Linked DNA regions of Mytilus edulis. The protein of the gene in region 2 purifies or fractionates together with the protein of the main gene of each other region. This does not show direct contact. Links are inferred from orthologs where the notes say so. Each region holds a gene or a part of one and is shown on either strand. Other genes may lie near its edges.

Region 1 (7,232 bases), on a different chromosome or scaffold from region 2:
TTATATTATATTAAGTAAAGATAAAGTACTAGTAGCAAAAGTAGCAAAAAAATATCAATTTAAATACTTTTTTTTTTATCATGTTTATGAAATTCATTGTTTCATGGCACTGAATGAATTAGTCCCTGTTATTTCTTATCTTTACATCAAAATGATACGTATTTTTAACAAAGTTATCTAACAAATAGTCTATTAATGCGTAGTTTTCTCTATTGGTATATTTTTTCTGTCTACCGTCCGTCTGTTGTCATTATCGTGAAAATGCGGATTTTTGACATATCTGGTCCGGTTCCGATCCGTAATTTACACAAAAATGTGCAATGGCGGCCGTAGAAAAATTTACGAAAATGAGTCCGAGAATAAACATTGTTTGACAAGAGATTGTGAATGAATAAGACGCTTTTAATGCATTAAATGAATTAAACATAAACTTAAGCCAATTATGACCACTTTTTAAAGAAGTATAAAACTTATTTTAGCTCAAAACCAAAATTCTCGCTCTCGTATTACCGGAAGAGAAAGAAAGTATTTTTTGGAGAGTTGCACAAATAAACGACCTTTTAAAAAATAAAAAATCGTTTTAATCTTTGAAATTTCGTAATACAAAACATAGATTTCGAATTGTTTTTGTGACTGCATTTTTCCATGTCGAAATTGGTGATTGACACGTGGTATTAATTTAGTCATGTCACAAGTGTCAGCTTGGGATATTCGCATCCAAACAGTTATCACCCTGAGGGCAATTAACACCTGGCTATTCAATCTCTTAATTGCCTTTAGTGTCCGACTTAAAGGGATTACAATTAAAGGTGATATAATTTTTATGATCATAATCGATAATAGATGAAAGTTCAAAATTGAGGACAAGTAAAATAGCATCTTTAAAATAATTATAGCGTCGCGGGAATTATTATACCATCACGGTGAAAAAATATAGCGTCGCGGTACCGCGACGCTAAAACGGCCTGGGGAGAACACTGGACTAATTAATAAAGGTGTTGATTGAATTATATGATAAAATGGTATGGTGAAATGGCGCCTGTCACATGTTACATAAAGGATTATTTGCCACTTTGCGATGCACGTGTTTGAAGCAAAATTTTGATGATACTACCCTTCTTTTAATGATAGTCCAGAAAAGAAAAAAAAATGTTATGACGAAAAATGTACAAAAGCAATAAAGGTCTCTGATTTAAACTTAATCATTTAACTTTGATATCGATAATTGATTTGAGTGGGTACTTTAAAGTCGTATCAGTGACACATGTTTCAAGCATAGTTTTACATTTTTATGATGGTCTAGAAAAGAAAACAGTCGTTATGAAGAAATCTATTCAAAAGTTTGAGAACAACCCCTCGAATGAGAGTAACCCTTCAATTTAATGACTACACCTTACATGAAGAATCAATTTCAAGTGACAAAATTGTAAAAAACACTTCTTGGTACAAAAGAGAAAATGTTTTCAATTTTGAAGAAACTTTCCCAAAAAACTGTACATCTTTCAGGTATCCAAGAACTTTTTATATTGCAGGTCATATATCTTCTTTATTTTTTAAAGTAAGTGGGCCCCCTTCTTTTAAAGTTGTTCAAAATATAATCATTTTCCTTATAAAGTTCTTTTTTTTAAAAGGTAAATGTTTAGTATTTATTCATTACAATGTAGACTCTAAAACAAGTTTGAGAGAATAATCATAGACAGCAATGGGTCAAACTCTTATTTAGGGGGGCTGGAAAAAAAATATATTTGTCTTACTTGGCGAAAAAAGATAATAAAGTGGCAAAAAATATATTGTTTTGGCAAAAGAGGTGGCGAAAAAAATAATTGACCCAGGGGAAACCCTACATAAATTCACACAAGCTAGAGTTGATATTGACCTGCTTTCATGTCATGTACGCAATTTGGTTATCCAGAAAAGGGACAGACAGGTCCAGTCTAAGTTACAATGTTGGCTGGTAGTTTTGTGTGTCCTATAAGGCTACATATAAAAAGGTATGTTTACAGTCGGTATTTGGTCCAACAGTCATGCAAAATATGTCTAAATGTAAAGATTTTAGTCAAAACCATAAAATAATAATGAATTTTATGACTCTTGCCATATTAAAAGAACAAAATGTTATTTACAATATTTAACCTTTTTTTATGAATTATCTAATAACTTCTTCTGTAGGCAACTAAAATTTATAATTTCTGAGTGATTTTAAATTTCATGATTGTCATTCTTAAAAGAGGGGCGAAAGATACATTTGTACCAGAGAGTCAAACTCGTAGATAGAAAATAAACTGACAACGCCATGGCTAAAAAAACAGACAAATAATAGTACACAAAACACAACATAGAAAACTAAAGACTAAGCAACACGAACTTAACAAAAACTGGGGGTGATCTCAGGTGCTTTGGAAGGGTAAGCAGATCCTATATAAACTCATACCAAGTTAGGGGCAAGTACCTCTTTAGACTTTGCTATAATATACATTTTCAAGTTTTTTGCTATAAACCTATGGTGTACTTATTCAACAACATGGTCTGATAATTCTAAAATTGGCCCATTGATTTTTTTTTTTTGGGGGGGGGCTAGCCAGGGCATATGCATAGACATAGAGAAGAATCCTTCCAGATCACTGAATTTGATGTTCTGAAAAATAAAAACATAGTCAAATTGAGTGGGATCTTGGGAATTTTCAGTGTTGTAGCAGTGGTAAGGGTCACTTAGTAGCAAAACTCATCTTTCTCTAAAAATGATGAAAATTTATAAGCTTCAGCTGTTCAGTTTGTAGACAGAAATTTTAATAATTTGATCAAACTGTCGACTAATTTGACAAAATGTTATAAAATATTGAAAGTTCACAAATTAATACAACCTTTTTGTCCAATTCTTCCCTTTGTTTTGCAGATTTTTTACCATCAGTTGGCATTTTGTTCTGAGAAATATGTTTTCTGAGCGCCCAATGCGGTCTCAGATGAGTTAAGGACTTTTTCGGCCTTCTCTTGAAAGAGTTAATTAAGGGGAGGTAATTATTATATCACCCGATCAGGTGCCCGTCTGCATGTACAAAGGTAGATCCTGCATTCAACTGGCGCTGCTACCTAGTAAAAATCTCGACAACATGTAATATAGTGATTTAAATTCAGCTATTCAGGTATTGTTATGTTTTAATGGTATCAAAAGACAAATTACAAATTATCATGTATTTTTATTTTTATTTTGAGTGTCGTATCATGACTGTCAGTCATAACAAGGATTTGTATAGTAAAAATTTTTGGTCATAAGGACATTAGTACTTAACACTTCACGCTAGTTCATCAGGTTTAAACGGAGTGTATTTGTCATTGATGTATTAATAGTTTTAGATAGGCCCCTACATGTGAATTTTTAATTTCATTATTTTGACTTTCATATGATTTTGTTTTATGCAATGTTCACCTATTACCGGACATCACTACACACTACATTCTGACAGGTTGACATTAATAATAATAATCAGTTTTGTATACAGAAAATAATTTCTGAATTAATTGAAATTGTAATTAATTATCGACTTTATTTCTAAAGTAATTATTTACATTGCAAAAATAATTCGTATTCAAAACTGTAATTAATTGAGTTGCAAAAGTAATTGTAATTAATTAAAATTGTAATTGTAACTAATTGACTTTCAAAAGCCATTGTAATTGTAAATGATTAAGTTGCAAAAGTATTCGTTTAATTTCATAATTAAATACATTTCTAAAGTACTTGTATTTTATCACAGTTCGAAATTAATTGTAGTAAATTACATTTCTAAGTTTTAATTAATTACTCTTTAAAAAGGTAATTAAATTTTATTTTTATTGAAGCCTTTTTTTGCAATTGTTATCCATTTTTAATTTAATACTTTTTATTGTTATAATGACCACATGTATGAAAGATAAACTTGTTTATGTGTTAGCTTTTCAGCTCCAGTGAGAACACATTGCTTGGATGTTTATGAAAACCTCTAAAATAAGAGGTTGCAGGCATACTTTAAATGCACTGTTTGTCAAATATAAAGTTTGAGGAACAATACTGGGTGCAGAAGGCAGAGCAGAATGGGGCATCATCCATATATCTAGTTTTAAAGTTATCTTGGATGCAGATGTAATAGTCAAGGGTTTAAAATTAGCAGGGCCCACTCGCCAATGGCCCCTAAAATTCAGTGTGGGCTACTTCAATTTCAACTTTTTTTTGTATAGAACTATATATATTGGCTACAAAACTTAAGCTGTTTGCTACTATGCCTAAATTTTAACTTTAATCACTGAACACAGTAGGGAATGACATTTTTTTCTTCTAATTTAGATCTGATGTAATAGATGATGGCAGATTCATCAGAAGTGATTGAGAAGACTGATCCTGGGAATGGAGATGTAATGGAGAAGAATGATTCTGCTAATGGAGATGTTCAACAGGAAGGAGAAGAGGAGAAACAACACTTTAGTTCTGTGGCATCAACATACTTTGACCAGAAAATCCAAATACCTGATGTTCCTCAGGTAAGAGAAAATTCTAATAACTGATGTTCCCCAGGTAAGTGTACAGTAAATCCCAATACCTGATGTTCCTCAGGTAAGAGAAAATTCTAATAACTGATGTTCCCCAGGTAAGTGTACAGCAAATCCAAATACCTGATGTTCTCCTCAGGTAAGAGAAAAATCCAATACCTTATGTTCCTCAGGTAAGAGTGCAGAAAATTCCAATACCTGATGTTCCTCAGGTAATAGAAAATCCCAATACCTGATGTTCCTCAGGTAAGAGAAAATTATAATGCCTGATGTTCCTCAGTTCCTCAGGTAAGAGAACATTCCAATACCTGATGTTCCTCAGGTAAGAGAAAATCCCAATACCAGATGTTCCTTGGGTGAGAGATAATCCAAATACCTGATGTTCCTCAGGTAAAGGGGAAATCCCAATACCTGATGTTCCTCAGGTAACAGATATTCCAAATACCTGATGTTCTTCAGGTAAAGGGAAAATCCCAATACCTGATGTTCTTCAGGCAAGTGTGCAGAAAACACTTATCTGAATAAATGTTCCACCACAAAATTTGTCCAGACTTATTGAATATTTTCCAATAGAAGTTCTATGTATAAAGTAAACTGATTTGAAGAGTTTTACCATTGATTTCAAAAGTCTATATGCTCAAATTTTTAAGATTGATTTCTTTATTTTGTTTTCAAACTACAGCAATTGTGTTATTTGTTCTTTGAAAACATTTGATTGATTTTAATTTCTTTGTGTCTGATGCATATTCAGGATTCTATTCTTTATTTACCTTAAACAATACAGTTTATCGGTATAATATGCATAAATATACAGTTTACAAGTTGTATAGCATTAACATACACATAAATAACAAACGTCAGAAATATCAGTTACATATTATACAGTTTGTGAGTTTCAGACTACATATAATAAACATAGGTCTTAAATATTATTCCTGCACTTAAATGCATAGAGTAAGTACTTTCCTAAATTACAGAGTTCCTTAGTGTTTTCAACAGAAAACAATTGTATTAATTTATAAGTTGATGGTCTAGTCCAATAATATTTCTTGATAAACTTTTTACGTATATCATTATAATTTGTACATTGTAAAATAAAATGAAATTCATCCTCTACTACATTTTTATCACACATAATACACATTCTACTATTTCTACTTATTCCATAAAAACGACCAGTTTCAATGCATAGATTATGTGAGGATAGGCGAATTCTCGTTATCCATTTACGAGCTATTACAGGAATACATTTTTGTAAATAAAATTATAATTCTACATTTGACACAATATACTTATATAATCTACACTTTGGTGATGTTTCAAGCGTGAAATGCAACTCTTGTTTAGCTTGATCATATATTCGTTGTTTGTTAATTGTAAAAATGAACTATCCAAGCAAAGTACCCATTGGTTGTCCCAATAATAATTCATACCAAGATCATATAAAATTGTTTAAATACAAGTTGCCCAGTTTTTACATTTATTGCTATTTGCTACTAGTTCTTTGTAACAAGACTTTATAATACAATTTTCACTACCGTGAATTTTAGTCCATAATTTGAGCATCCTAAAATTTCGCTCATATAACAATGGAAATCTTCCTAATTCATAATATACCATTACATTAGAAGTGGACCTCTTGACACCTAGTAATGTTTTACAATAGTCCAAATGAACTTTTTCTACATTTGGTGCTCTATGAACACCCCAAACTTCACAACCATACATTAAAATACTACATACATATATAAGTGTCAAATGAACTTATAGAAGTAACAGTGTTCAGGTATAAGGATAATGCCTTTTTCCTCATACTAAACTCAGCTTTCCTGCCTTGTTCAGCACAGTGGTTTTGAGTAATATAAAATTTACAATTATAATGAAATAACACACCCAGATAACAAAAATGATCTACAATATCTAATGGTTTACCATTATAAATCCATATCTCAGTAAGACTAATTTTCCCACCTTTACGAAAAACTACTATCTTTGTTTTTTTGGTGTTAACTGAAAGACCCCATTTCTCAGTATAACCAGATAAAGTATTTAACATATTTTGTAAGCCTTGGATTGATTCTGACATCAAAATCATATCATCAGCATACATTAATAAAAAAAGTGTTATGTCCTGAAATTCAAGTATAATGATAACATATTTTAAAAAATATATGTAATAAAATAATTGAAATCAATGTTAATTAAGTAGGATATAAGACATGTACACACTTATATCAAATTAAGGATGTTTTTTATCCTGCTTTTACTTTATTTATCTTGTTGGATCATCCTCATCTAGGTCCTAATGACATTTTTTACTATTTATTGATAATAGATATGGTCAGCACAAATTAAAAAGACATGATAAGATCCATTAGAGTTACATTTCTGGATAACTTATATCGTTAATTGGGTACATTGTATATAAGTTTAAACTTACAGAACTATTGATATATATATATATATTAAATGTTATTTTGAATGTGGCAGTAATCTATCAAACCTTTGACACCAGAAAAAAAAGACATCATCTAATATTTTATAAATATAAAATTGAGAATGGACTTGGGGAATGTGTCAAAGAGACAACAACCTGACCATAGAACAGACAACAGCAGAAGTTCACCAATAGGTGTTCAATGCAGGGAGAAATTCCCGCACCCAGAGGCGTCCTTCAGCTGGCCCCTAAATAAATATATATACTAGTTCAG
Region 2 (7,689 bases):
TGAAATCATTCTGTTTGCGTCTTCTATGTTGTTCTACTGGTCTATATATAGTTGTTTCATCTGGATGATATGGTGTCCATGATGTATCTCTTCGTGACCATTGAATGTTAGTAGATGGTTGGTCACAATTTCTATCTTCCTTCAAAGCCTTGACATCTTGTGAGAGTTGTTTCACCAATGCTGTAAGTTGCTGAATTTGCCTATTTTCTACTGTTGTTGTCGTTGATTTACTCGTAGCCTGTGTAGGTGGTTTCTTTTTCAAAGATGGTTTGAGGTTATGTTGATTCTCTATTTCTCTTGTAGCTTTCAGTAATGAGTGAAAATCGGTGATGGTATCTTTCTTGTAGCGGACAATATTCTTCATCTCCGGTCTTAATCCATCAAAGAACTTTGACGTAAGCATATCGTTGATGTTTTCCTCTGTGACATTCTTTCTGTTCTTGGCTTTGCTTAGTATTTCCTCTAATCGACAAGCCCATGTTGCAACGTCTTCATCATCTTGCTGTCTAGCCGTGTAGAATTGGCCAAGTAAAGCTTCAGGCTGATCAACAGATCCGTATATACTGTCCATCTTATCAATGATGTCGTCAATGGTTGCTTCAGGACCAAGTCTCATGGGAACCTTGCTAGCATCTCCACGTAGAGAACGTCTAATAGCCATCGTGATGGTTTCATGTGTATGTCCTGTCTTGATGAGACACTGTACCTCATATCTCCATAGGTCGTATGGTGTACCAGTCTTCACATCTCCGGAAAACGCTGATATCCGCGGTAAATAGGCATTACATAAATCATCATCAGTTTCTTTGTAATCTTCCATCCAGGTCTTAAAATCATCTGGTGTCTGAGCGCATGGTTTGAGATCCATCTCCTTGAAGGCCATAACTATGTTGCTGATCTCATCCTTAGATAGATAATCCGACATGGCTGTACAAAATAATAATACCTAAACTGTAAAAATAAAATGCTGAGATGAAATCTGAAATAAACAAAAGCTTCTGAAACAAAGAAATGTTAAGTTCCTAAAAGAAAAAAATATGTCTGAAATGAATACCAATATATACCAAAAGTTAATGCTAAAACAAAAAAAAAATGTTAAGTACCTACAATAGAAACAAAGTATCTGAAATAAAAAAATATATGAATAATATTAATTTATCCTAAAATACAAAGAAATTATCTGGAATAAATTAAATAAACAAAAAGTTTTTAAGTACCTATAACAAAAATAAAGATTCTGAAATCAAATAGAGAAAAAAATAAGATTAAGTACCTGAAAACTAAAAGAAAACAATAAGATTAGTATCTGCAGTCTAATGTCTAATCTACAATAAAGATAGAATTAATGCAAATCCAAATATGATACAATATAATCTGGAAATCTCAAAGAAATATCCTGTAAAAAAAAAAAAGATTAGTAACTCTATGGTCTGAAATCAAAATTATGATTAAGTATCAACAAACTCGACAACAGTGCCTAAATAAATATAGAGTGATATAATACTGGACTGAAATGACCAACTCCTCTGAAATAAACAGACTAGATGGTAAATGCAACTCTGCAATGGTAAATCAATATACTGAAATCAAAATTCTGATTACTATATGTATACACAAAAATGGATCTGAGAAAACACTATATATAAGTATAATGTACACAGTGGCTAACAATACCTCACAACTGAAAAGCAATGAGTATGTATAATAAAAACAAATATGAATAGTATCAATATACACGTACGTACCTTTTTTAAAGTTCCTACCCAGCTATGTCTCTGCAAATCACACACACCTAATACTCACCAAAATGTGTGCAATTTATTCCTTACTGAGTATGACTAGCTGCTACATATAATCAAAATATATGTAACTATATAGGGGAATATATATAATACAATGTAATGTAAAGTAGAAACTGGTACTGCTGCTGCTGTAAATAATATCAATATATCATCAATGAAATCGCTGAAAGTCCTGAAACTTAAAATGTATTAAAGAATCAGTCAGTCAACAACAAGAACCGAAGCAACAGATCTACCTATACAACACAATGTAGACACCTATCAAGTACCTCAATAACCAGAACCTTATCAATCAAACAACACGTATACTTACTTAACTATGTATACTTCTAGTTCTTCAATGAGCTTTATACCTACTTCTTCAAATGTACAAATTACTCCAGTCGGTTTCTTTCTGTACTTATATTCCTCACTTACCCTCAAATTTTTTGTAGGTGAATATCTACGACAGCAAAGTTCTGTGGAACTTTACGAGTAAAAGAGTATTTGTCGTGTCTCTAGTCTTTGCAATAATCCTAACTGACAGATGTGGGGATTGGGCAGTTATGAATCTATTTAATATGTACAGAATAATATGCAAATATCAACACAATATATATGTATTTACAAAGTCAAATATAATATATCAATTACAAACAGTAGCAACTGTTTATTCTTCTACCTATGTGTCACACTTTAAATTCTAATGTAAATTAACTAACTGTAAAAGAGTTCGAAAGCTAATTATATAATCAAATTCTGAATGAAAGTTTAAAGTAATTTCAACAAAAATTTACAACAAAAATTTAAATCCAAATACAGCTAATATGTCTGAAATAATTTCAAATAATTTCCGAAAAAAAATCAAAGAAATTTATTTAAAAAAAAAATTAAGTGACACAACAAAATGTGTATTACAAGTCAAGTACAAATAAACAAATACATTCAATGTCAATCAACTAATGAGTATATATCAAAAGTTTTACTAAATGATGTTTATTTATAAAGTCAAAACACACACAGTGTATAAATACAACTCAGTTTAATAGTAACATCTATAGTCAATCGGTAATCTCTGAAGTGTATCGACATCTACGGGTATCGTGTATTGCCAAAATACGATCAATTCTTCATAATCTACATTATCCACCAAAAACGTCTGATCTACCAGAAAAACTACGTTGGGCGCCATTGTGATAGTCGTGTTTTACGGGGGTTCCATAAACGACAAGTCTAGGGTTCTTTGACATCACTTTATTAAGTTAACATAGGAATAAATAAATAACCCTGCAATAACAACAGCATATAGTTATTACAATTATCAATATCACAGTCTTATCAAAGTCTTATACTATAAACATATAAATATTATACTGGCGTAATAACAATGTTACAAGATCGCATATAATATTCTATTCCGTATACAATAATCTATACTGAGTATCAAGAATGCGGTGACATTCACAATATGCAATACACTCGCAATTATATCTTTCTAAATACAAATGCATGCTTTTGATAAGTCGTATCAAATAGTATATCATTATAATCAACCAAGCGTATTATAAACAAGTCGAATGTACTGTACTTCATAAACGAGTGTCATTCATAAAACCTTTAACATACAAAGGTTATTATCTGTTCACTATAGTATTCTTTTAATTTCGTATGCACTACTGTAATGTATAATATCTATGTAGGTACAATATAATATAATATGACCCTTACCAATCTGTGGAACCAGGTTATATATCTAACATCTACAGTACAACCAGTATGTTACAGGGACATCATAATCTATGTGTCCTGAAAATAATACACAATAGTAAATACTAGGATCTAGGAAAATAGTGATCCCTTACATAAAATACAGCATATTAAAGACTGATATAATAAAATCAAGCTATTACACAGAATAACCATATATGACAATATGAATGCAATTGTCAATGTGACGTCATAGATCCATAACCGAAAGGTCAAGGTCACTTTCAAAATCATTCATAAATCTCCCTTTCTACATTCAAACTACAGATTCAAATCATATATTCTCAGATTAATACATCAACTATCTTACTCCTATCATATCTAAGGTCTATGGGCATACTTACCTATAAACGGGCAGAATTGTATAGCATGCACTGCATACGCCTTTCATACACCACAAAGAATATAAAATCTACTTACCAGATATAAAGAATGTAATTTCCAATAACTACAGTTGTTCCAAAGTATGGAAACTTCAGTGAATAATAACGAGCACTGAATATAATGTTTCTATATAAGTTTTATCACTATATACGGTTTAAACAATAAGTATATATTAAATTTGTATGTCTCCAATTTTCAAGAGTTAACCACCATTACTTTATTTCCAAAATCTGAGGTGTGTCCAGAATGACCAATAAGAACTGACCATAAAGGTAAACAAGGTGTGACAATTAATTTACTAATGAGTTGGACAGGTAGATACTATTACAACTATGCCCAATGAAGTATGACTGACTAGAACTTTCATACATTTTAAAGTGTGAAGAGATAATGAACTATAAATCAAAAGATCAAATAATCAAAGTGAAGTAATTAAGTCTAATATCTGGCATATCATAAAATGTAAAATACTAATAAATGAAATGCGTAAAAATATACTCTGTCACAATTATTCAAAATTTAGGTTTATCATATTAGTCAAAAAATATATGTAGGACATTCGTTCTGAATATACATGAAATATTTGCCACTGGACTTTAATTAAGCAAACCAACTGTAGGACATAGTCTTGATTAGCTGACATTTAAGGTAGCGCCTTCCTCATACTATTATCATTTATACATTTCTCGTTTTTGCTATTTATTTTGCCACTGACAACGGGTAAAAAAGACAGCATGATTTTAAAAAAAATTATCAGTGTTGCGACATTACAATAGAAATCTACACTTTACACTAGTTTAAATACGAAACTAAACTTACAGCTCTGTATTTCAAAGATGGTAGGTCTGCTTTATCATCGTAAAAGAAGTAAAATACACTTTCCTAGCAGAAATTTAGTGATTTTTGTTCTAAATTTCTAATGCATATGATCATGAGATTCACTAAAATACAATTTCTATAGGAGTTTTGAATATGAGGTCCAAATTAACACGGGAAATGAAAAAAAGGGGGGACTATGCCGGTTGGACATAACTTACTTTGTTAATTTTTACTCCGGAGTCCTTCTTCAGCTTTTTTGCTATGATGAACCTTTAAAGTTAATGACTGACTGGTAGTTTAGATAGTTCATGAATACACATTCAAGTATAAAAAAAATAACAGTAGTAGAAGTAGAAAAAGGTAAAATAACAAAAATAACCAAAATTAGAAAAATATCAAACTCTTAAGAAAATTTAAAATGTGAAATTCAATGTGAAAGTTCGGAATCAATATTAAAAGATTAAACAAATTGTCTCAGGAAAAATCTTGGTTTTTATTTGCCACAAAATCTCCTTTTACTATTAACATGATTAAATGCAAGGAAACAATAAATAGACATTAATACAGCCGAGCATTTTCCCCGTTTCGGGCCGAATCCTTATATCGTTGATATGTCAAGTCAATGCACTATTATTGTTTTTATACTGCAATCTAAAAAAACATTTTCAATTGTTGTTTATTGTGTTAATGTTATTTATTTGATTTAAATATTGGGAAAAATCCCCCTTTAAAAAGTAAAATCACAAAAATACTGAACTTAGAGGAAGATCAATTGGGAAAGTCCATAATCACATGGCAAAATCAAATAACAAAACGCATCAAATACGAATGGACAAGAAAAGGCCTCATATCACACAGACGGAGAAATATAAAACACGATGAAATGTACATAATTACCGCAATCAATGATGAACGAATTCGTTGCAGACTAAAATATCAACAATAAACATAAAACATAATGATTTATAGGTAAGGTTGCAAACAAAAAAATATTAATAAGTGAAATATGTTTTCCCAAAAATTGCAAAAGAAACAAGTTTGAGTCGTTAAACGCATCGTTGTTTACATTGAAAACAAGAACAGGTTGAAGAGTTCGTATGAATAATTAAATATAATTTCGACAATTTCTATTTTTAAAATATTCATGAGGAAAAGTGATATCAGGTCAGTGACTGTATATGGCATAGAAATATACAGTCAACGCATTTTGACTGCTCAAATAGAACGAGTGCAGTATAAATATAAATAATGCCTTTGCATTTGGAATATGTACAAAAAATATTTTTTTGACTGTTTTGACACTATTGCAGTTTTAAAATTTCATAATTCACATGGCTACAGAAGGGGTCACAAACCTTAATCACTATAAAACAAACAAATGTGTGAACAAACTTATAATCAAAGCACATAAGCAAAAACGAAAAACAAAATACAGAAAAAGATATACTAAACAGTCAAAGTAATAACTTACAAAAAAATTATAAGAACAGTACCTATAATCTAGACCAACATGACCAAGGTATATTTTTGTCATAATTAATTAATATATAATGAATTCTGAAAGTGTGACTGTTATAAAGAAAAAATAATTCTGATTAAAAACATGTTTTGATTTATTCCTGGAATTGCTTCTTATTGTGATCCTGTTTTATCTGTTATAAAATAAGATTTGTTCCTGTTTTGCAGGATTAAAACTTTTCAGACCATTTTTGGAATGGTTTTTAACAATGATTGTTTTATATTTCTTCAAAATATACATGTACATTACAAAAGATACAAATCAGTACAGTACACTTAAAACTATCTAAAAGATAACAAAACATATAAAACAAACCAATGATTATAATAAGGCAAGACATAGAACATACATGTAGTACCAAAGAATGCTAATTATAACAGTTTTTAAATTAAAAGAAAGGCTTCAAGCTCAAAGCCTTTTATCAACTTGATATGAAACCATACCATTCTACATTAATTTAATTGGCTGTGCTTCAAACTACATGTAGATTTCATACTGCATCGACAAGAAGACCTGATTATGTACTATGCCCAAAACAAACCTGTGCAAAACTTCAATTTATGAAAATAGAAGCAATAATTTAGTCTAGTTTCAAATGTAATTGGTTTCTTTCTTTCTTTTCAGTCTAGGAGATATGATTCCAGAACAACTATTTTTTCCCCAGAAGGTAAGAATAGAAAGTGAAACATACTACATATATATATTTAATAAAACACATTTTAAACTGTTTGCACTATCATAATTGTGTACATGTATTATTATTCGTTTGTACTTTCATAATTATGTACATGAATGTTAAATTGTTTGCACACATATGCAAGATGAATGTACAAATTTGGCTTTGTACCAAGTTTATATTTGTTTTGTATAATAAAAGAATGGATTTGATGTGAGTATTTATGTAATACAGGGAGGTTGTACCAAGTGGAGTATGCCATGGAAGCAATAGGACATGCAGGAACTTGTTTAGGGATATTAGCCAGTGATGGAGTGGTTTTAGCCGCAGAGAGAAGAAACACAAACAAATTGTTGGATGAAGTCTCATATTCAGAAAAAATCTATAATCTCAATGAGTAAGTTTTAACCTGCACATCAAGAATTATATTGTGACTTAAAGATACCAGATTATGAAATATAGAAACAATGAAGACATAGATTTCATAGTATAAACGTTTCCATACACTAACCGACACATGGTCTCTCCTGTGTATCCTGTTTTAAAAGAATAAAAGATTTTGTACAAGACTTTAGCTTTTTAGATAGATATGAGTTTGAAAAATGAAAATGAAATAATAATGTATTTATATACCTTTAAATATGTGCATTTAAGAAATAACTGCATATTTCTTGGTTGGTCTTTATGGTTGAAGTCATTTTGACATAATATTTATTAGTTCAGTTGTGATTGAACTTAAAATC
Region 3 (7,299 bases), on a different chromosome or scaffold from region 2:
GACCGAAAGCTGACTGCAGGATTTAGGCCTTACCTGTTGTTAGTTTGGCAATAAGGGAACATAAAAGGGGTCCAGTTTAACCGTGAAGGGGCCTATTGGCAATCCCATATATTATGGATTTGTTTATATAATTTGTTTATATAAATAGGCAGTGTCTGAGCATACATTGTACCTGCATGCGGGTACCAATAGCCAAATTTTTCTTTGTAGGGTATGCGTTTCTGCATCAGGTTTAATAATTTCATGTCATTGGATTGGGAATAAAATGTGAAATGAACCCGGAAGTTTTCGCAATCCCAGACATATTTTGTTAAAAATCATGATCCCGATAAATTTAAAAGTTTAAAGTTTCAATGCTTATGATTAATGTTCAAAGTCTTTCAGCTTAACCAATCCGAATATGTATTATCACTGTTACCGTGAAGTCAAGCTGTATATAAGCATTTTTGTTCACCAAAATCTTCAGTAGCCAGTCAGAAAATTGGCCAAATTCCAGTTCAAGTCAAAACAAGAATTTGGCTTGATAAGAAACTGGATGCACACGTTTAGGGGGAAAAAAGGGGGTAAGGTTTTGTATATACAACTTTAATAAAAAATCGAACGATATTTTCAAGTTGATTGAATGAATACTTATTAGTACTTTCACAGAAAGAGATAATTTTCTACATGTACCTATCAAATTTGATCTTTCAGTTTGAAGGAATGTTTTCTCGGGATCCCATTGATGCTGTGTATAAATATACTTTTCCTTGGTCATCTTTGTATTAATATTTCTCCCCATCCTTTTTTCACAGGCCGATTCATTAATTCCCCAATAATTGATAAGGCCAACTAAAATCAATTAGTAGATTTTCATCCAAATTTTTGAAAAAAATGGGGCGGGTGGGAGGATTTTATTTTTAAAATTTTATTTCATATGAAACCCTCGTCACGAGTTCTTCATACCGCAGGGTATATGCTAGTGGAAAACAAGCTTGTATAATGTATATACATGCCGTAAAAGGAATCCTACACTATTTTTTAAACTCTTAAATAAAAATCCCTGATTGGCAACCACTGTTAAACATGTAATTGCCGCTTTAGAAACCTATTTATAGTATACATCAAAAAGAAGAAAAATGCCCCCTTCAGTTTGACTATACCTACACCAAATTTATTTTGCTTTCTAAGCAATGGTTTTTAGTCCCCATAAAATCAATAAAATGTATTGGTACAATTGTATGCAACACAAGTATTATGAGTACAGAATAAAATGTAAACTCAGTATTGAAAGTACAATGTAAAACATGAACTTAACCGAAAAGCAGTTTAATGACTAAATTGAGGGTATTGGGATAGTTACAAAGGGTGTTTGCTGTTTGTCAACAAAAACAACAGCCATGGGTAAATATAAGGGCTTGTTATAATTAAAATGCGTGTTTGTCGACTTTTTTTTCTCAATATACGGTCATAAATCAAACAAGTTCGTGCTTGTGCAAATTTCTTTAATACAGTCATGTTTTTTGTACCAATGTGTTCTACGATTCTTGCGCTTTGGATATCATTCACAGTCCAAATTTCCTGACACAAAGTCATCGTATAAATAAAGAAAAAACACGGTTTTCGATTCACTAGTGACTACTGCAATTTGCGTTCAAGGACAAGGCGTTTTACTCGTAACTCGAATATTTCACGCCCTTCTCGTTATCAATCTCTATTCTCGGTAGATGATGTTGTCATTATAGAGCAGCAGAATATGTCGACTTAATCATTTTTGTTAGATTACTCGAAGAAATACAAATACGAAATTTGAAACAGGAAGTTTTGAATGAAACGAAATTATCGATGGTTCCCGGTAACGGACATGAACAAAATCCGGAAATATTTTTTTTGTTAAATAAAAAAAATCAGGGCGGGACAATTTCAGAGGGGCGGGCGGGGATGAAAATCTAGCAATTAATTTTAATTGGCCTAACATATTTTTTTAATTTGATTAAGTCAGTGAAGCTTTCGCTGTCCTTTAGCACAATGTTTGTTTTTTCCTTAAGGAAAGCCAAAGAATGTTTGTCTTTGTGGAACAACAAAAGGGTTCTAATTGATATAATTTGAGAATCGTTTAATTAACGGAATAATTAAAGACCTGATCCGAGCTCAAAGCTGTATCTCTAAACGTACTATCACATGTACTTTGATTGATTGTTGGTTGCTTAATGTCCAGTGGCAAATACTTCATGCATATTCCAGACGAGAACAAGTTCACAATAAGTACAATAGGTAGGTCTTGTCATTAAAGAGGCCCTTTGGAATGATGGTCGGAGATATTTGGACTGCCACTGGAAAATGAGGGTAGATTAGATAGGGACAGAAATTTTGCCTTGCAACAGGCCTCAAAGAGTTGTTGCAAGGATTCTTAACATGCACAGAGTGTGGCACTCTCTTTACATGAGGCATCCGATTTAACGTCCCCATTCTGACCGACGTGACTGCGAACTTGACACATCCCGCACAGCCAACTTCAGCAAGCGTTTTACTGCCGTTTTGGAGAAGACCAAGTGACCTCAGTCACCCTTGGGGTTTACATGTACGTATACTCTGATCTGGATCTACTCTGTTTCTAGATGCGATTCTGATTGAAGTATAATGAACATGGCACTTTGTCCAAGGTACAGTTGTTTGTCAATCCCGTAATATTTCAACATAATAATCCCACATTCCTGTGGCTAAAAACGTGGCTTTCCTGTATCCCAATGTTTTTCTATCCCGAACTCCCGATCTTTAAACAAGGCAATCCCGATTTCCCATTGCTAAAATTGGCCAATCCAGGCGACCCGAAAATGGTCTAGCCCCCCCCCCCCCTAGAAATGACCTTGGTTATTATTTTAATATCTTATTTAATATTAATTATAATTATTGATATAATTTGATATACACCATTATTTTTTAGAAGATAATCCAATTAAAAAAGTATAACAAACAAGTGAAAAACAATACAAAATTAGGACAGTTCAAGTTCTTGAAATAAATAATCATAAATATGTGAATATCAAATGCATCTAGTTTTAGGCATATGAAATTTTATCTTATCATCTTCAATTATGTATACACTCAAACTTTATTTTAAGTTGTTTTAGATCATATTTTAAAATTTATGTTTCCAGCATGTCCAGGTTTCTGTTCTGAATTTTATTAGAAAATAACTTTCACACAAGTTTTTTATTAACCATTGTTAACATACAATTATTCAAATTCAGTATAATTTTATTCTTCTTTTAATGTGCATTTACGTTTAATTTCTATTTTTTTTTTAAATAATACATTAAACACAAATTATTATTTATTATTTGCCATTCTTTGAACACTGAATTCACAAAATCCGTAAATAACTGATTTTTTGGGGTATCTTCATGATCTTTTATGTTCTATTCCTGATCATATGACCGTTTATTAAAAAATCGGTTGCGGTTACGCATAGCCTAATATGATGGCCGAATTAGCTATGCGTACCGGCATGCGGGAACATGCAGACACTGCCTTGTTCATTGAACAATAAGAATCATATTAAAAATTTGGGTGGTTTCTGTAACTTTTGTAAATATTTATATCTTCTACTTCTACTTCTATGTGGTTAATCTGCAGTCGGAAATTCCATAACGCAAATATACTGAACGCGTGTGTCAACCAGTACACGCCAAGTTAAAAATAACAAACTTTGTGTATTTACAGGAACAAAAACAAATAAAATTATCATATAATTTTTAAACATAATTAACGTCTGCAAAATTAATGGTTACAAGATTTAAATTTAAAGTGTTGCATAAATGGGTGCATTTGAACTCTTTGTTGTGTTTATATTAATTTATACATAGAGTGCTCCCCCTTCAGTCTTGACATTTCAATCAATGCAAATGGCACCAAAAACTTCTTGATTGCTTTGTGAAAACTAAATTTTTGGAAAAGAAACTTTCAATAACATGATTAATGAAGAATATGTGGATTAACATGATTAATGAAATTAACATTTAATACGCCCACCTTGTTTGACGCCAGAAAAAAGCCTGGATAGGCAATGGAATCGATTGATCATCGTCACCAGACAGATTTTTACGCTTAGGCATTTTATAATTGCTTCTTCATTAAATATTTACACCCTTCCATCTTTAATTTTCTGTTTCGCATCAAAAATGGCGTATGACTGGAACTCTCTTATCTGTTTATTGATCTGAATCGGCTGCTGAAGCTGATTGTTTTGATCAGTATATTTTTAATAAAAGAGTCCGAGATTTCCGAGAAATGTATATCTACATTCGACACTCTCTAGACTGTTCATCGTAAAAATGGCGGCAAATGTAGACGACATTTGTCGGTCTTTGGAAACGACAACACTGTCAACAGATGTTTTATCAACATTGGTTGAGTTGAAAGCAGCTTTATCATCTGTCAGAACAATAAATCTACACACAGTAGTCTCAGTTTCATCTGTACAGAAGTTATTTGGCTTGTTAAACACTGATGACGGGTTTGTAACTCATGTTTTTACTTCAATTTTGCAAGTCATCCTATACTTCACAATATCTCCATGTATCTCCAGCGTTGTACAGTTTAGGCTTATAAAGACTGATCTCCACAGTATTTGCTTACATCATTAGGAAGGTTGACTATCTATGTATAATTTACATTAGACTAAATTCAAGATGAAAATCACTTGTGTTAATATTGAGTTAACATGGTTAAGCCATTTCCTATTGATATTTTATAATGTGTCTCAAATGTTATACCATTTGTTTCAGGTACATGTAAGGGTTAAGGTTGGTATCTTAAAACGTATAGCCCTTAACTCATTGCATTTGTTTGCACCTGTTCTACATTTTTTTTAAATTAGGAACCTGATGTTCAGCATGTCCAGTGGTTGTTGTTTCTTGATGTGATTTATACATGTTTCTTGTTTTTTAATATAAATTAGACCTTGTTTTACCTATTTGAAAGATTTTACACTAGTCATTTTTGGTGCCCTATATACAGCAACCTTAGGGTTCCTCTTCACCATCCTCATATACATGTATTGTGTTATAATCTCTATTATTTCTGTTGCTGCTTCCTGTTATTTCAGCATAATAATCAGAATAATAGATTTATTAGAGTTTGCTGTTAGGTAGAAGCCAAGGCTTCATTTGGAAGACCAAACTTTTACCTACAATGTATTTATGGTTTACTTTAATTTTACAAATTGTGTCTTGGATGCCATGAGAGTTGTCTCATTGTCACTCATACATTTTTTGTACCACATCTTATTATATCTACTCAACATTCAATACACTTGATATAGGAAACAATTCAAAGACTCCTGACTTTGGACAGGCACTTTTTATAAACTTAGACAGTGGTGCATAACAATATAAACATGAGAAAAAATATAAAAATCAGTTGAAAAGGGCTTAACTCATCAGATCGATAAAACATCAAACTAAATAAATGAATTTTGCAGGTTATTAATACATCTCTTACAACAAAAAAGACACAAAGCACAGATCATGCAGATCTAAGATTGTTATGTTTCTATTAACATGATTAAATTAACAGCTTGTTCAAAACCAAAAACAATTTTTTAAAAGATAATCTGAAATTAGAATAGATAGCTTCATATATTGCATTTAAATGTTATTTTATTGTTATGTTTAGTGACTGTTTTATTGTTTTTTTCTTTCAGTGAAATCATTGAAGAATGTTGCAGTATTTTAAAAAATGTTTTGCTAGCATGGTCACCTGCTGTTGGGTTGGACCTATTCAAAAATGATTTTGATATAGGATTAAAGCACCCTTCTACCACGATACAGTGTTTATGTTTAAGACAGGTAACATTCTTCTATGTTTTAGTAAGGATTATTTATATAGATCTATGTCCACTCATGTTGGATGAAGGGGCAATTTGATAAACCTTATTGCTATTTAGTTCAATCCAGGAAAAACAGTAACTTGGACAACTTCCTGTTTGGGTCGAGTGAACCAAGAACAAAGTTCATCAGTAACGAGATGAGGGCAGAAATGTTTAGAAAGTGAACATTGTGAAATTTGTATAGTTTATGAATGAAAGTAAGAAAAATGCTTTGTTCGAAGTGTTTGCAAGGGTTTAAACACAACTCTTTGAAAATTTGCATGCACAGTACATTGTTTATACAGGGCTCCAGATAGCTTCAACTGGTTTGAAAGAGTGGACAATATTTGAACTTTTTGGATTGGAATAAATAGCGATTTATAAGGTTTATTGAAGCTCAGTGAAAAGATTTTAGAGTGACTTAATATTATAAGAATACATCAGTAGCTTCTTAAATTGAGTTAATAAGATAATTTTTATGATAATAAAGTTACCAAGTATGATACCATACCATTTTTTACCAGAAAAAATAATTTCTGGGGAAGCCCCCCTCCAGTAATGTTTTATTGTGCACATACATGTACTTTCGACTTATATAAACCCATACACCAGTCTTAAGGCTAAATATTCAGGCATATGCTTGTGAATCATTATGTTCATTTTACTGTAATCAATGTCCTTTAAAATCTTTTTTTCAGCTAAAACTTGCTGGAGAAGATGACCAAACACTTTTGAATTGGGATTCAGCAAGAGATGTCATCAAAACAGTGATCAATTTGATAGCTAGCCCATCCCTTCAGGTGGCAAAACATGCACAGAATGTGATACTTAATATTAGTATGTTGTCTTTAACTTAAAATCACTTCAATATCTCTCTATAGATGCTATAATGTGCATTCATTTATTATACAGTTAACTCTCGTTGTCTCGAACTCGGTTGACTCGAAATTTCGGATGAGTCGAAATTTTCACGTGGTCCCGAACTTTATTCCATACAAAAGTATGTAATTCGACTCCTGATGAGTCGAAATTGGATGAGTCGAAATTTCGGTTGAGTCGAACTAAATGTACGGTCCCAAGGTTAACAAAGCATTCAAAATTCATTTTTTATCTCGAACTAATACACATATATGTCAAAACATGACCTCCGGGATTTAAATGGATTGAAGAGTTAATCTGACAATACACGTGTAATTAAATTTCCGGTCACTGACCACTGTATTGATTTATGACATGCTATTTCCATGAGTGTTTACCTAAGATTATCTTTTATAGAATTTTGATAAATAATTAGTGATACATTGTTAATGTTCATGAAAAAGTATTTAAAATGTTTACAAAACAATTAATTTGTGATTTACACTAATGAGCTTGAGTGTGTATAAAGTGAGGATTGTGGCTTCCGTTGATGATCACCTAAAAACTACTCAAACGGCGTCTTCAATCTTGTT

What was found. Proteins that work in one complex are often made in the same cells at the same time.
Region 1: the proteins of proteasome subunit alpha type-4-like (region 2) and proteasome activator complex subunit 3-like fractionate together in Homo sapiens (co-fractionation; 3 studies listed by BioGRID, with this or other methods). This does not show direct contact. The link is inferred for Mytilus edulis from reciprocal best matches to the Homo sapiens genes PSMA4 and PSME3.
Region 3: the proteins of proteasome subunit alpha type-4-like (region 2) and 26S proteasome non-ATPase regulatory subunit 5-like fractionate together in Homo sapiens (co-fractionation; 3 studies listed by BioGRID). This does not show direct contact. The link is inferred for Mytilus edulis from reciprocal best matches to the Homo sapiens genes PSMA4 and PSMD5.

The regions. Positions count from the first base shown.
Region 1 is NC_092345.1:106,000,581-106,007,812, reverse strand, and holds the start of proteasome activator complex subunit 3-like, read right to left. Parts: upstream 3,010-7,232; 5' UTR 2,916-3,009; coding exon 2,862-2,915; intron 1-2,861. Other genes in the region: natural resistance-associated macrophage protein 2-like, read left to right, coding at 4,333-4,512. UniProt on the Homo sapiens protein: Subunit of the 11S REG-gamma (also called PA28-gamma) proteasome regulator, a doughnut-shaped homoheptamer which associates with the proteasome. 11S REG-gamma activates the trypsin-like catalytic subunit of the proteasome but inhibits the chymotrypsin-like and postglutamyl-preferring (PGPH) subunits.
Region 2 is NC_092347.1:92,229,728-92,237,416, forward strand, and holds the start of proteasome subunit alpha type-4-like, read left to right. Parts: upstream 1-4,685; 5' UTR 4,686-4,768; coding exon 4,769-4,771; intron 4,772-6,894; coding exon 6,895-6,937; intron 6,938-7,180; coding exon 7,181-7,343; intron 7,344-7,689. UniProt on the Homo sapiens protein: Component of the 20S core proteasome complex involved in the proteolytic degradation of most intracellular proteins. This complex plays numerous essential roles within the cell by associating with different regulatory particles.
Region 3 is NC_092345.1:26,665,914-26,673,212, forward strand, and holds the start of 26S proteasome non-ATPase regulatory subunit 5-like, read left to right. Parts: upstream 1-4,290; 5' UTR 4,291-4,313; coding exon 4,314-4,495; intron 4,496-5,683; coding exon 5,684-5,828; intron 5,829-6,546; coding exon 6,547-6,685; intron 6,686-7,299. Other genes in the region: protein unc-80 homolog, read right to left, coding at 4,012-4,094. UniProt on the Homo sapiens protein: Acts as a chaperone during the assembly of the 26S proteasome, specifically of the base subcomplex of the PA700/19S regulatory complex (RC).